Callithrix jacchus: one gene and its partners. The protein of the gene in region 1 purifies or fractionates together with the protein of each later gene. This does not show direct contact. Links are inferred from orthologs where the notes say so. Each region holds a gene or a part of one and is shown in the gene's direction. Other genes may lie near its edges.

Region 1 (2,680 bases):
CTTCACCACCTTCACTGTGACGAAATACTGGTTTTACCGCCTGCTGTCTGCCCTCTTTGGCATTCCGATGGCGCTCATCTGGGGTATTTACTTTGCCATTCTCTCTTTCCTGCACATCTGGGCAGTTGTCCCATGCATTAAGAGCTTCCTGATTGAGATTCAGTGCATCAGCCGTGTCTATTCCATCTACATCCACACCGTCTGTGACCCACTCTTCGAAGCTATTGGGAAAATATTCAGCAATGTCCGCATCAGCTTGCAGAAAGAAATATAAATGACATTTCAAGTATAGAAGTATACCTGATTTTTTTCCTTTTAATTTTCCTGGTGCCAATTTCAAGTTTAAAGTTTCTAATACAGCAACAATTTATGAATGAATTATCTTGGTTGAGAACAAAGAAATCACTTTCTCAGTTTTCATAAGTATTATGTCTCTTCTGATTTATTTCATCTATTTTTTGGCAGTCTGAATTTTAAAATTTTTTTCTTTACCTTTTTATTTGCGTGTGGATCAACCATCACTTTATTGGCTGAGATATGAACCTATTGTTGAAAGTTAATTTGAGAGAAATATGGAGAACTGAGGAGGGAAAAAAAAGAACCAACAACCTCAACTGCTACTCTAAAATGTTGGTCATTTTATGGTAAGGGAAGAATTCCAGGGTATGGCCAGTGAGTGTACAAGTATATGGGCAGATTTTCAGCAAACTCTCTTCCCACCATTACGGAGTTAGTGGATTGCTGCATTCATTTTCATGATCCAGTAGGATCCAGTGATCCTTGCAAGTTAGAAAACATAATATTCTACCTTCTCATGATCCAACTAATGCCTTACTCTTCTTGAAATTTTAACCTATATTTTCTGTGCCTGAATATTTGTTATATAGATAACAAGACCTAAGTGCCTTCCTGTTTTTCACATTTTTTTAAAATAGGGTCTAATGCATCAACATGCATTAGGTCAGCAGCTTCCCTGAAGACCAAAATTAGAATACCTATGACTTAGTCTTCCATGAGCATTTCTGACTCTGAGCTAGAGTCCAGTCAAGCTCGCATCTGGGCTTTATCATGTGGCATCTTTATCCATAGAGATGGTCGACAGTAGCCCGATGAAATGAATTAAAGTGGACCAATGGGGCTGAGTCCTCTGTGGGCTGGCAGGCGTGGAAGCCAGCTTTCGCTGCCTGTCATCAGCTGAATGAGGTCAGCATGTCTATTCAGCTTCCTTTATTTTCAAGAATAATCATGCTTTTCTGAATCCAAACTAATCCATCACTGGGGTGGTTTAGTGGCTCAACATTGTATTCCCTTTTCAGCTGATCAGTGGGCCTCTGGGGAGGGGCTGGAAAACGGAGGCCATTGTGTGAGCCTGTCGAGTTGCTGCAAACATGACCCCTGCTCAGTAAAGCACTTGCAACCGTCTGTTATGCTGTGACACATGGTCCCTCCCCCTGCCAGGAGCTTTGGATCTAATCCAAGCATCCCTTTGCCCAGAAAGAAGATGGGGGAGGAGGCAGTAATAAAAAGATTGAAGTAGTTTTGCTGGAATAAGTTCAAATTCTTCTGAACTCAAACTGAGGAATTTCACCTGTAAACCTGAGTCATAGTGAATGCTGCCTGGTATATCCAAAAGCTTTTTATTTCTCCTGCTCATATTGTGATTCTGCCCTTAGGGACTTTTCTGAAACCTTCAGTTATGCTTTTATTTTTTTTTTTGTACACTTATTGGAACTCCGCTTGATTTTTGCCTCTTCCAGTTTTCTTGACACTTTGATTACCAACCTGTTACCTACTTTGACTTTTTGCATTTAAAGCAGACACTGGCATGGACATAGTTTTACTTTTAAACTATGTATATAACTGAAAATGTGCTATACAGCATACTTTTTAAATGTAAAGATACTTTTATCTTTATATGAGGAAAATCACTTAGGAAATGGCTTTGTGATTCAATATGCAACCTGTGTATTCCAAGACATGTCTGTTCTACATAGATGCTTAGTCCCTCAGGCAAATCAATTGCTGGTCCAAAAGATTGCTGAAATTTTATATGCTTACTGATATATTTTACAATTTTTTATCATGCATGTCCTATAAAGGTTACAAGCCTGCACAATAAAAATGTTTAACAGTTAAACATTCAGCTTTATTATTTTCCCCCAAAACAGGTGTTTATATGTCAGTGTCTGTGTGTGTCTATGTGTTTGTATGTAGTGAGCATGTGTATATGTTTGTAGTGTGTTTGTGGGGGGTAATAGTCTCCCACTTTAAAATTATTACCAAGTCACTTAGGATATTTCTGCTAAGGTCATCAACATTCATAAGTTACTTCAGATAAAAGTTATAATTAATAACAAAGATTTGTTTTAGCAATTTCCCCAATGTTTTATTATATTTCATCTAATTTGAGCCCCCAGCAAGCTTGGATATTAATGCTTTCATTTGGTAAATGACACAATTTGCATTCAGGGGGCAATGGCTTCAACTTTGCTATGCCTTAACTGGGTTTTAAAAAGGTATATTGCAGTCCCAATTTATGTTTGTTGCTTTGCTAAGTTGACATTCAGGACTGTATTAGGGTTCTCCAGAGAAACTGAACCAATAAGAGATAGATGGAGATAGATAGACAGATAGATAGGATAGAGATAAAGAGAGAGATGAAGATAGAGATAGAGATGGC
Region 2 (3,552 bases), on another chromosome or scaffold:
GGACCTCCTGGGACAGGGAAGACCCTGATTGCTCGAGCTGTAGCAAATGAGACTGGAGCATTCTTCTTTTTGATCAATGGTAAGAGACTTGGTTCATCTTAGGTCTAGCTAGACCCAATTTTGAATGGGGACTCATGAGCTGGAGAGCTCATGGACCGATCCCTTTTGCATTCATGCCCACCTGCACTTTTATAGTATATTTCTTCTCCTGGGGTATGTTACAGACAGATGAAGAATAAAGGGAAGATACTTTACATTGGTGCTCCCTGTCCTGTCCCCTTTGAGAAAGATTGTGGACAGACCGAAGAGTGGGAGCAAGCTAGAATGAGAAATTAATGGGTGAATGCTTATTGATATGAGAGATTTTCGGGGAAATGAACTTGGATTGCTGGCTCTTGGAGAATACTGTTAGCTGGTAGAGATCTAGCTGGTGTGCCATCTCTCCTGCTCTAGCCATAGGTCCCAGAGCATTTGCTGTCACCTTTATACTTCTAGTTCAACTGTGAGAAGAGTATACTGAGTCCCTGGGCTTCTCTCTAGCCTGGACTGGTGGCTATCCTGTGATAATGGTTGGTAGAGGATCTGAGAAGTAGGCAAAGGTCACCACCTTCTCACCAGGACCTGTCTCTGAGCCAGACAAGCAAGATAACTGTTTTTTGGGTAATTAGGAAAGGCTATAATTTTGTTTTTGCCTCCATTCTGTATTCTTTCAGGTCCTGAGATCATGAGCAAATTGGCTGGTGAGTCTGAGAGCAACCTTCGTAAAGCCTTTGAGGAGGCTGAGAAGAATGCTCCTGCCATCATTTTCATTGATGAGCTGGATGCCATCGCTCCCAAAAGAGAGAAAGTAGGAGCTTACCTGAAGGGATAGTGGGGGGTTGAAAGGCTCTAACTTCACTTATGACCAGACATCCTGTTCTGGCAGACACATGGCGAGGTGGAGCGGCGTATTGTATCACAGTTGTTGACCCTCATGGATGGCCTAAAGCAGAGAGCACATGTTATTGTCATGGCAGCAACCAACAGACCCAACAGCATTGACCCAGCTCTACGGCGATTTGGTAAGCACTCCAGATATATCCAACCCTGCCCTTGCTTACATCTCACCTCTCTCCTTCATCTAAGTCACTTAATCCTCTTGAAGCCCTTTGCAGTGATTAGGTCCAGGGGTCTTTTTCCCTTATCCTGCATCCTGTCTAGACTGACCAACCACTTGGTTTTCCTGAAACTGAAAGGTTTCCCAGGGTTTGAGACTTTTTCACTGCTAACATCAGGACAATCCTATGCTAACTGAGATGGTTGGTCCTGCTAGGCCTGTCTCTTCCCTCTGGACTAGAAATGAGCCCTGTCTGTGTTCATGTACTGTCCCACAGGTCGTTTTGACCGGGAGGTAGATATTGGAATTCCTGATGCTACAGGACGCTTGGAAATTCTTCAGATCCATACCAAGAACATGAAGCTGGCAGATGATGTGGACCTGGAACAGGTAAAGTGATGATGAGGGCTGACTGGGCATTACAATATCTCTGTTTCTAGGCAGTTGCTGGGAACTGGCTTGGAACATAAGGTTAAGATGTGAGGAGATGGATTTTGATTTCTGGACAGGGGAAAGGAAGTGATCTGAGATTGAATCCAGGAAATTGGAGTTGACTTGTTTCTCAGTTAACACTGCATTTAGAGTAAATCAGAATTTCTGGGGCAGCTTTATTTCTAGGCCTCAAGTCCCGAATTGAGTACTTAAAACCCAGCCAATAAAGACATTGCTAGTACATATTCAACGAAATGAGAGGACCCAGGGATAGGAGTCGGGGGAAGGATTTCTGTTGTTTCTTAGCCTCCTGTGGGAGCTGGAGGCAGCATAGTAAGTAGGTCTTTCTCTACAGGTAGCCAATGAGACTCATGGGCATGTGGGTGCTGACTTAGCAGCCCTGTGCTCAGAGGCTGCTCTGCAAGCCATCCGCAAGAAGATGGATCTCATTGACCTAGAGGATGAGACCATTGATGCCGAGGTCATGAACTCTCTAGCAGTTACTATGGATGACTTCCGGGTAAGGACCACACCCCTACCTCAGGTACACACCTAATGTGCTTTGACCCTTCCCTGGTAAGTCTCATCCAGTTTTCCCTTCTTTTCTAGTGGGCTTTGAGCCAGAGTAACCCATCAGCACTGCGGGAAACTGTGGTAGAGGTGCCACAGGTAACCTGGGAAGACATCGGCGGCCTAGAGGATGTCAAACGTGAGCTTCAGGAGCTGGTCCAGGTAGGGTAACTTGGTCCAGGGTGAGTCACTGCCTTAGTGATGTGGGTGGTCTCAGGGTATCAACACATTGGCTGCAAGAGTTGTAAGAGCACAACTTAGGAACCTACTGTTCTTAGGTTTGAGGCATTAAGGAGTCTGCTTTTAGAGAACCTGGATCTGATACCATTGGGTACACCATGAAGCTTCCGTTTGGTTAGGTTTCTTTCAAAATATGGTGGTAGCCTTGAACCCTCTTTCCTTTTTGTCCTAGTATCCTGTGGAGCACCCAGACAAATTCCTCAAGTTTGGCATGACACCCTCCAAGGGAGTTCTGTTCTATGGACCTCCTGGCTGTGGGAAAACTTTGTTGGCCAAAGCCATTGCTAATGAATGCCAGGCCAACTTCATTTCCATCAAGGGTCCTGAGCTTCTCACCATGTGGTTTGGGGAGTCTGAGGCCAATGTCAGAGAAATCTTTGACAAGGTGAGCTATAATAGGGTGGACTCTGTATTCATTTGCCTGGGGGCAAGAACTGTTTTTCTTTAAGAGAGTTGAAACAGTGCTGGCTACTCAACTGGACAGTAATCTTTCTGAGGTCTGAGAGATCCAGTGTTTAGTTTTGTTTTGTTTTTTCTCTTGAGACAATATCTGGCTCTGTTGCCCAGGCTGGAGGGTAGTGGTGCAATCATAGTTCACTTGTAACCTTGAACTCCTGGGCTTAAGCAATTCTCCTACTTCAGCCTCCTAAGTAGCTGGGACTACAGGCATGCATCACCACATCTGGCTATTTTTTTTTTTTTTTTAGAGGTAAAGTCTTGGTATGTTGCCCAGGCTGTTTTTTAATTCCTGGCCTCAAGTGATCTTCCCACCTTGGCCTCCCAAAGTGCTGGGAATGCATGTATGAGCCACTGCATTTGGCCAGAGAGATTTAGTTTTGTTAGAGCTTGACTCAGTCTGTTCCTCCCACAGGCCCGCCAAGCTGCCCCCTGTGTGCTATTCTTTGATGAGCTGGATTCGATTGCCAAGGCTCGTGGAGGTAACATTGGAGATGGTGGTGGGGCTGCTGACCGAGTCATCAACCAGATCCTGACAGAAATGGATGGCATGTCCACAAAAAAGAATGTGTTCATAATTGGCGCTACCAACCGGCCTGACATCATTGATCCTGCCATCCTCAGACCTGGCCGTCTTGATCAGCTCATCTATATCCCACTTCCTGATGAGAAGTCCCGTGTTGCCATCCTCAAGGCTAACCTGCGCAAGTCCCCAGTTGCCAAGGCAGGTGCAAGATCATGGGCTATGGGGGACTTGT
Region 3 (3,753 bases), on another chromosome or scaffold:
CCAAGAAACCGACAGACACACAGCTTGAAACATTTCTCTTGGTTACCAATGCCTGCTAAAACCCCCTGTAGAGGTAAAGACAAGGGTAGGGGAAGGTTCCTTAGTGTCCCAACCTAGAAAGATGAGTATGTTATATCAGCCACCCTCTGCCTCTTGCAGCAGGGAACTAAAGTTCTCAGGCCAGATGTCAGAGTGAGGAGGGCTTGTATCAGAAAAGGGCATTATGCATTTCTGAAGAGGGATGAAGTATAGGGGATGAGGGCCAAACTCTGAATTTGAGTTCCAGCGTCATCACTTTCTACCCGCATGAGCCTGGGTGAGTCTGTCAATTTCTTTGTGCCTCAGTTTCTTCGTTTATAAAATGGTGATGATGATAGTATTTACAAAATAGGTTGCTGTAGGAATACCCAGAGACATTATTTTAAAGTGCTGAGAACGGGCTGGTGCATAATAAGAGCCAAGTAAGTACTGGTTGTTATTATTCCACTCTTGGGAATTCTCCAGCCTTGGAGATTGCAGTATCTCCCTGGCTCCCTCTCATACACCACCTCCACCCTCAGCCCCCTTCATGGACCTTGATGCAGTTGCTAGCTCCAAGGTTCACCAGACAGGATCGGCCCTCACCAGAATTGTAAAAATCTCTCCCCTCCTGCCCTGTTGTGGCTTTTGCAAATGGAATTCGTTGCAGGGGGTGGAAGGGTTCTGCTGGTTTGAGACCAGACAGCTCATCTCTTGACTAGGCTGCCTGCCTGGGCTGCCACTGGGTCCATACTAGAAACAGGGCAGGGTATGGGGACGCTGCAAGGTTCCAACCCCGTCATACCTTTTTGTGGATCTGTAGGAAGACGGGAAGAGAGGTGCTTCTCCATTGATAATATGTATTTCAAGGTCCGTAACTACTCCACGCCCCCTCCCGTCTGCAATTCTTCCCAAAGAAACACCGTTATCTCTCCAGAGTAAAAAGGACTGTTGTCTCCCGTCTCTGTCTCTCGTACTCCGACTCAGCTCAAAGCCTGTCCTTTTAACCCAAGGCACTTCGTTCCTTCTGGAGTCCACTCGGCTTCCAGCGGGTTCCCAGGTGAAACTGAAATCCAGAGCTATTCTCATCTGGTTGCCCTGGGAATTTCGGCGCTCTCGGTACAACCTGTTCCTCCATCCTCCCCACTCCTTCCCTCCCTCCGCGGGGCTGCACCCTTCTCGGCCCCTCCTTTCCCTTGCTAGGGGCCCCAGCTGCGCCCTCCCGGGAGACACTCGGTGCCACGAGACCAGGCTGGGGAAGCGGGCGGGGGGGGGGGGGGGAGGCGGGGGGGAGGGGAAGCGGGAGGAGGGGGAGGCGGGGGAGGAGGCGGGGGAGGCGCCCAGGGTGGAGGCCAAGCGCGGCGCAGCCAAAGAGGGGCGGCTGAAGGTTGCATCTGCTGGAAGGAGGCTTTTCGGCTGCTTGGTAACCGGCTGCCAGAAGAGAGAGAGAGGCAGAGAGCAGGGCAGCGGCTTCTTGACGTCAGGACCAAGCGAGGGGATCGCGCCAGCAACCCCAGCTCGCCCCAGAGAGGGGGCCGGCCAACCGCGAGAGCGGAGCCCGAAGCGAGGCGCCAGCGGAGCGTGAGTAGGGGGCGCGGGAGCCGGTCAGCTGGGGCGCAGCATGCCCCCTGCCCCCGCGCCATGGAGATCGCCCTGGTGCCCCTGGAGAACGGCGGGGCCATGACGGTCAGAGGAGGCGATGAGGCCCGGGCAGGCTTCGGCCAGGCCACAGGGGGAGAGCTCCAGTGTCCCCCGACGGCTGGGCTCAGCGATGGGCCCAAGGAGCCGGCGCCAAGGGGACGCGGCGCGCAGAGAGGCGCTGATCCGGGAGCGCGGCCGTTGCCTCGGCTGCCCGAGGAGCCGCCACAGCCTCGGCGGCCGCCTCCGGAGGACGAAGAGGAAGAAGGCGACCCCGGCCTGGGCGCGGAGGAGGAACAGACTCCGGGCGCTGCGGCTCTGCACCACCAGCGCGTCCACATCAACATCTCCGGGCTGCGCTTCGAGACGCAGCTGGGCACCCTGGCGCAGTTCCCCAACACCCTCCTGGGGGACCCCGCCAAGCGCCTGCGCTACTTCGACCCCCTGAGGAACGAGTACTTCTTCGACCGCAACCGGCCCAGCTTCGATGGCATCCTGTACTACTACCAGTCGGGGGGCCGCCTGCGGAGGCCGGTCAACGTCTCACTGGACGTGTTCGCGGACGAGATCCGCTTCTACCAGCTGGGGGACGAGGCCATGGAGCGCTTCCGCGAGGATGAGGGCTTCATTAAAGAAGAGGAGAAGCCCCTGCCTCGCAACGAGTTCCAGCGCCAGGTGTGGCTTATCTTCGAGTATCCGGAGAGCTCTGGGTCCGCGCGGGCCATCGCCATCGTCTCGGTCTTGGTCATCCTCATCTCCATCATCACCTTCTGCTTGGAGACCCTGCCCGAGTTCAGGGATGAACGCGAGCTGCTCCGCCACCCACCGGCGCCCCACCAGCCTCCCGCGCCCGCCTCTGGGGCCAACGGCAGTGGGGTTGTGGGTCAGCCCTCTGGCCCCACAGTGGCACCACTCCTGCCCAGGACCCTGGCCGACCCGTTCTTCATCGTGGAGACCACGTGCGTCATCTGGTTCACCTTCGAGCTGCTCGTGCGCTTCTTCGCTTGCCCTAGTAAGGCAGGGTTCTCCCGGAACATCATGAACATCATCGACGTGGTGGCCATCTTCCCCTACTTCATCACCCTGGGCACCGAGCTGGCAGAGCAGCAGCCGGGGGGCGGAGGAGGCGGCCAGAATGGGCAGCAGGCCATGTCCCTGGCCATCCTCAGAGTCATCCGCCTGGTCCGGGTGTTCCGCATCTTCAAGCTCTCCCGCCACTCCAAGGGGCTGCAGATCTTGGGCAAGACCTTGCAGGCCTCCATGAGGGAGCTGGGGCTGCTCATCTTCTTCCTCTTCATCGGGGTCATCCTATTCTCCAGTGCCGTCTACTTCGCGGAGGCTGACAACCAGGGGACCCACTTCTCCAGCATCCCTGATGCCTTCTGGTGGGCAGTGGTCACCATGACCACTGTGGGCTACGGGGACATGAGGCCCATCACTGTGGGGGGCAAGATCGTGGGCTCGCTGTGTGCCATCGCCGGGGTCCTCACCATCGCCCTACCTGTGCCCGTCATCGTCTCTAACTTCAACTACTTCTACCACCGGGAGACGGACCACGAGGAGCCGGCAGTCCTTAAGGAAGAGCAGGGCATTCAGAGCCAGGGGCCGGGGCTGGACAGAGGAGTCCAGCGGAAGGTCAGCGGGAGCAGGGGATCCTTCTGCAAGGCTGGGGTGACCCTGGAGAATGCAGACAACGCCCAAAGGGGCAGCTGTCCCCTGGAGAAGTGTAACGTCAAGGCCAAGAGCAACGTGGACTTGCGGAGGTCCCTGTATGCCCTCTGCCTGGATGCCAGCCGGGAAACAGATTTGTAAATGGAGATTCAGGCAGACTGGTGGCAGTGGGGTAGGGAATGGGAGGCTTGCTGAACATGGGTATCTACATTACACCGCAGAGTATTGGAAGCCACACTGTAACCTCAGTCTACCCTCTCCTTTCACTTCTCTCCTTCCTCCCTTCCTCCCTCCCTCCATCCCCCCATTTTCCCTCTTCTTTCCATGACACCCAAGGGTCGCCTATTTTTAAAAAGTACCACGTTCCATGACGCAGGAGCTGTTGAAATGGCGAGTGCTGTGAGATGGATGTATTTGTAGCCTATA

The links.
Region 2: the proteins of CAV1 (region 1) and VCP purify together in Homo sapiens (affinity purification with mass spectrometry; 5 studies listed by BioGRID and IntAct, with this or other methods). This does not show direct contact. The link is inferred for Callithrix jacchus from reciprocal best matches to the Homo sapiens genes CAV1 and VCP.
Region 3: the proteins of CAV1 (region 1) and KCNA5 purify together in Homo sapiens (affinity purification with western blotting, with the first as the bait; 3 studies listed by BioGRID). This does not show direct contact. The link is inferred for Callithrix jacchus from reciprocal best matches to the Homo sapiens genes CAV1 and KCNA5.

The regions. Positions count from the first base shown.
Region 1 is NC_133512.1:87,138,837-87,141,516, forward strand, and holds the end of CAV1 (caveolin-1), read left to right. Parts: coding exon 1-274; 3' UTR 275-2,137; downstream 2,138-2,680. UniProt on the Homo sapiens protein: May act as a scaffolding protein within caveolar membranes. Forms a stable heterooligomeric complex with CAV2 that targets to lipid rafts and drives caveolae formation. Mediates the recruitment of CAVIN proteins (CAVIN1/2/3/4) to the caveolae.
Region 2 is NC_133502.1:141,939,548-141,943,099, reverse strand, and holds part of VCP (transitional endoplasmic reticulum ATPase), read left to right. Parts: coding exon 1-79; intron 80-713; coding exon 714-847; intron 848-925; coding exon 926-1,061; intron 1,062-1,373; coding exon 1,374-1,486; intron 1,487-1,883; coding exon 1,884-2,048; intron 2,049-2,137; coding exon 2,138-2,260; intron 2,261-2,510; coding exon 2,511-2,723; intron 2,724-3,209; coding exon 3,210-3,518; intron 3,519-3,552. UniProt on the Homo sapiens protein: Necessary for the fragmentation of Golgi stacks during mitosis and for their reassembly after mitosis. Involved in the formation of the transitional endoplasmic reticulum (tER).
Region 3 is NC_133510.1:18,649,416-18,653,168, forward strand, and holds the start of KCNA5 (potassium voltage-gated channel subfamily A member 5), read left to right. Parts: upstream 1-1,543; 5' UTR 1,544-1,659; coding exon 1,660-3,468; 3' UTR 3,469-3,753. UniProt on the Homo sapiens protein: Voltage-gated potassium channel that mediates transmembrane potassium transport in excitable membranes. Forms tetrameric potassium-selective channels through which potassium ions pass in accordance with their electrochemical gradient.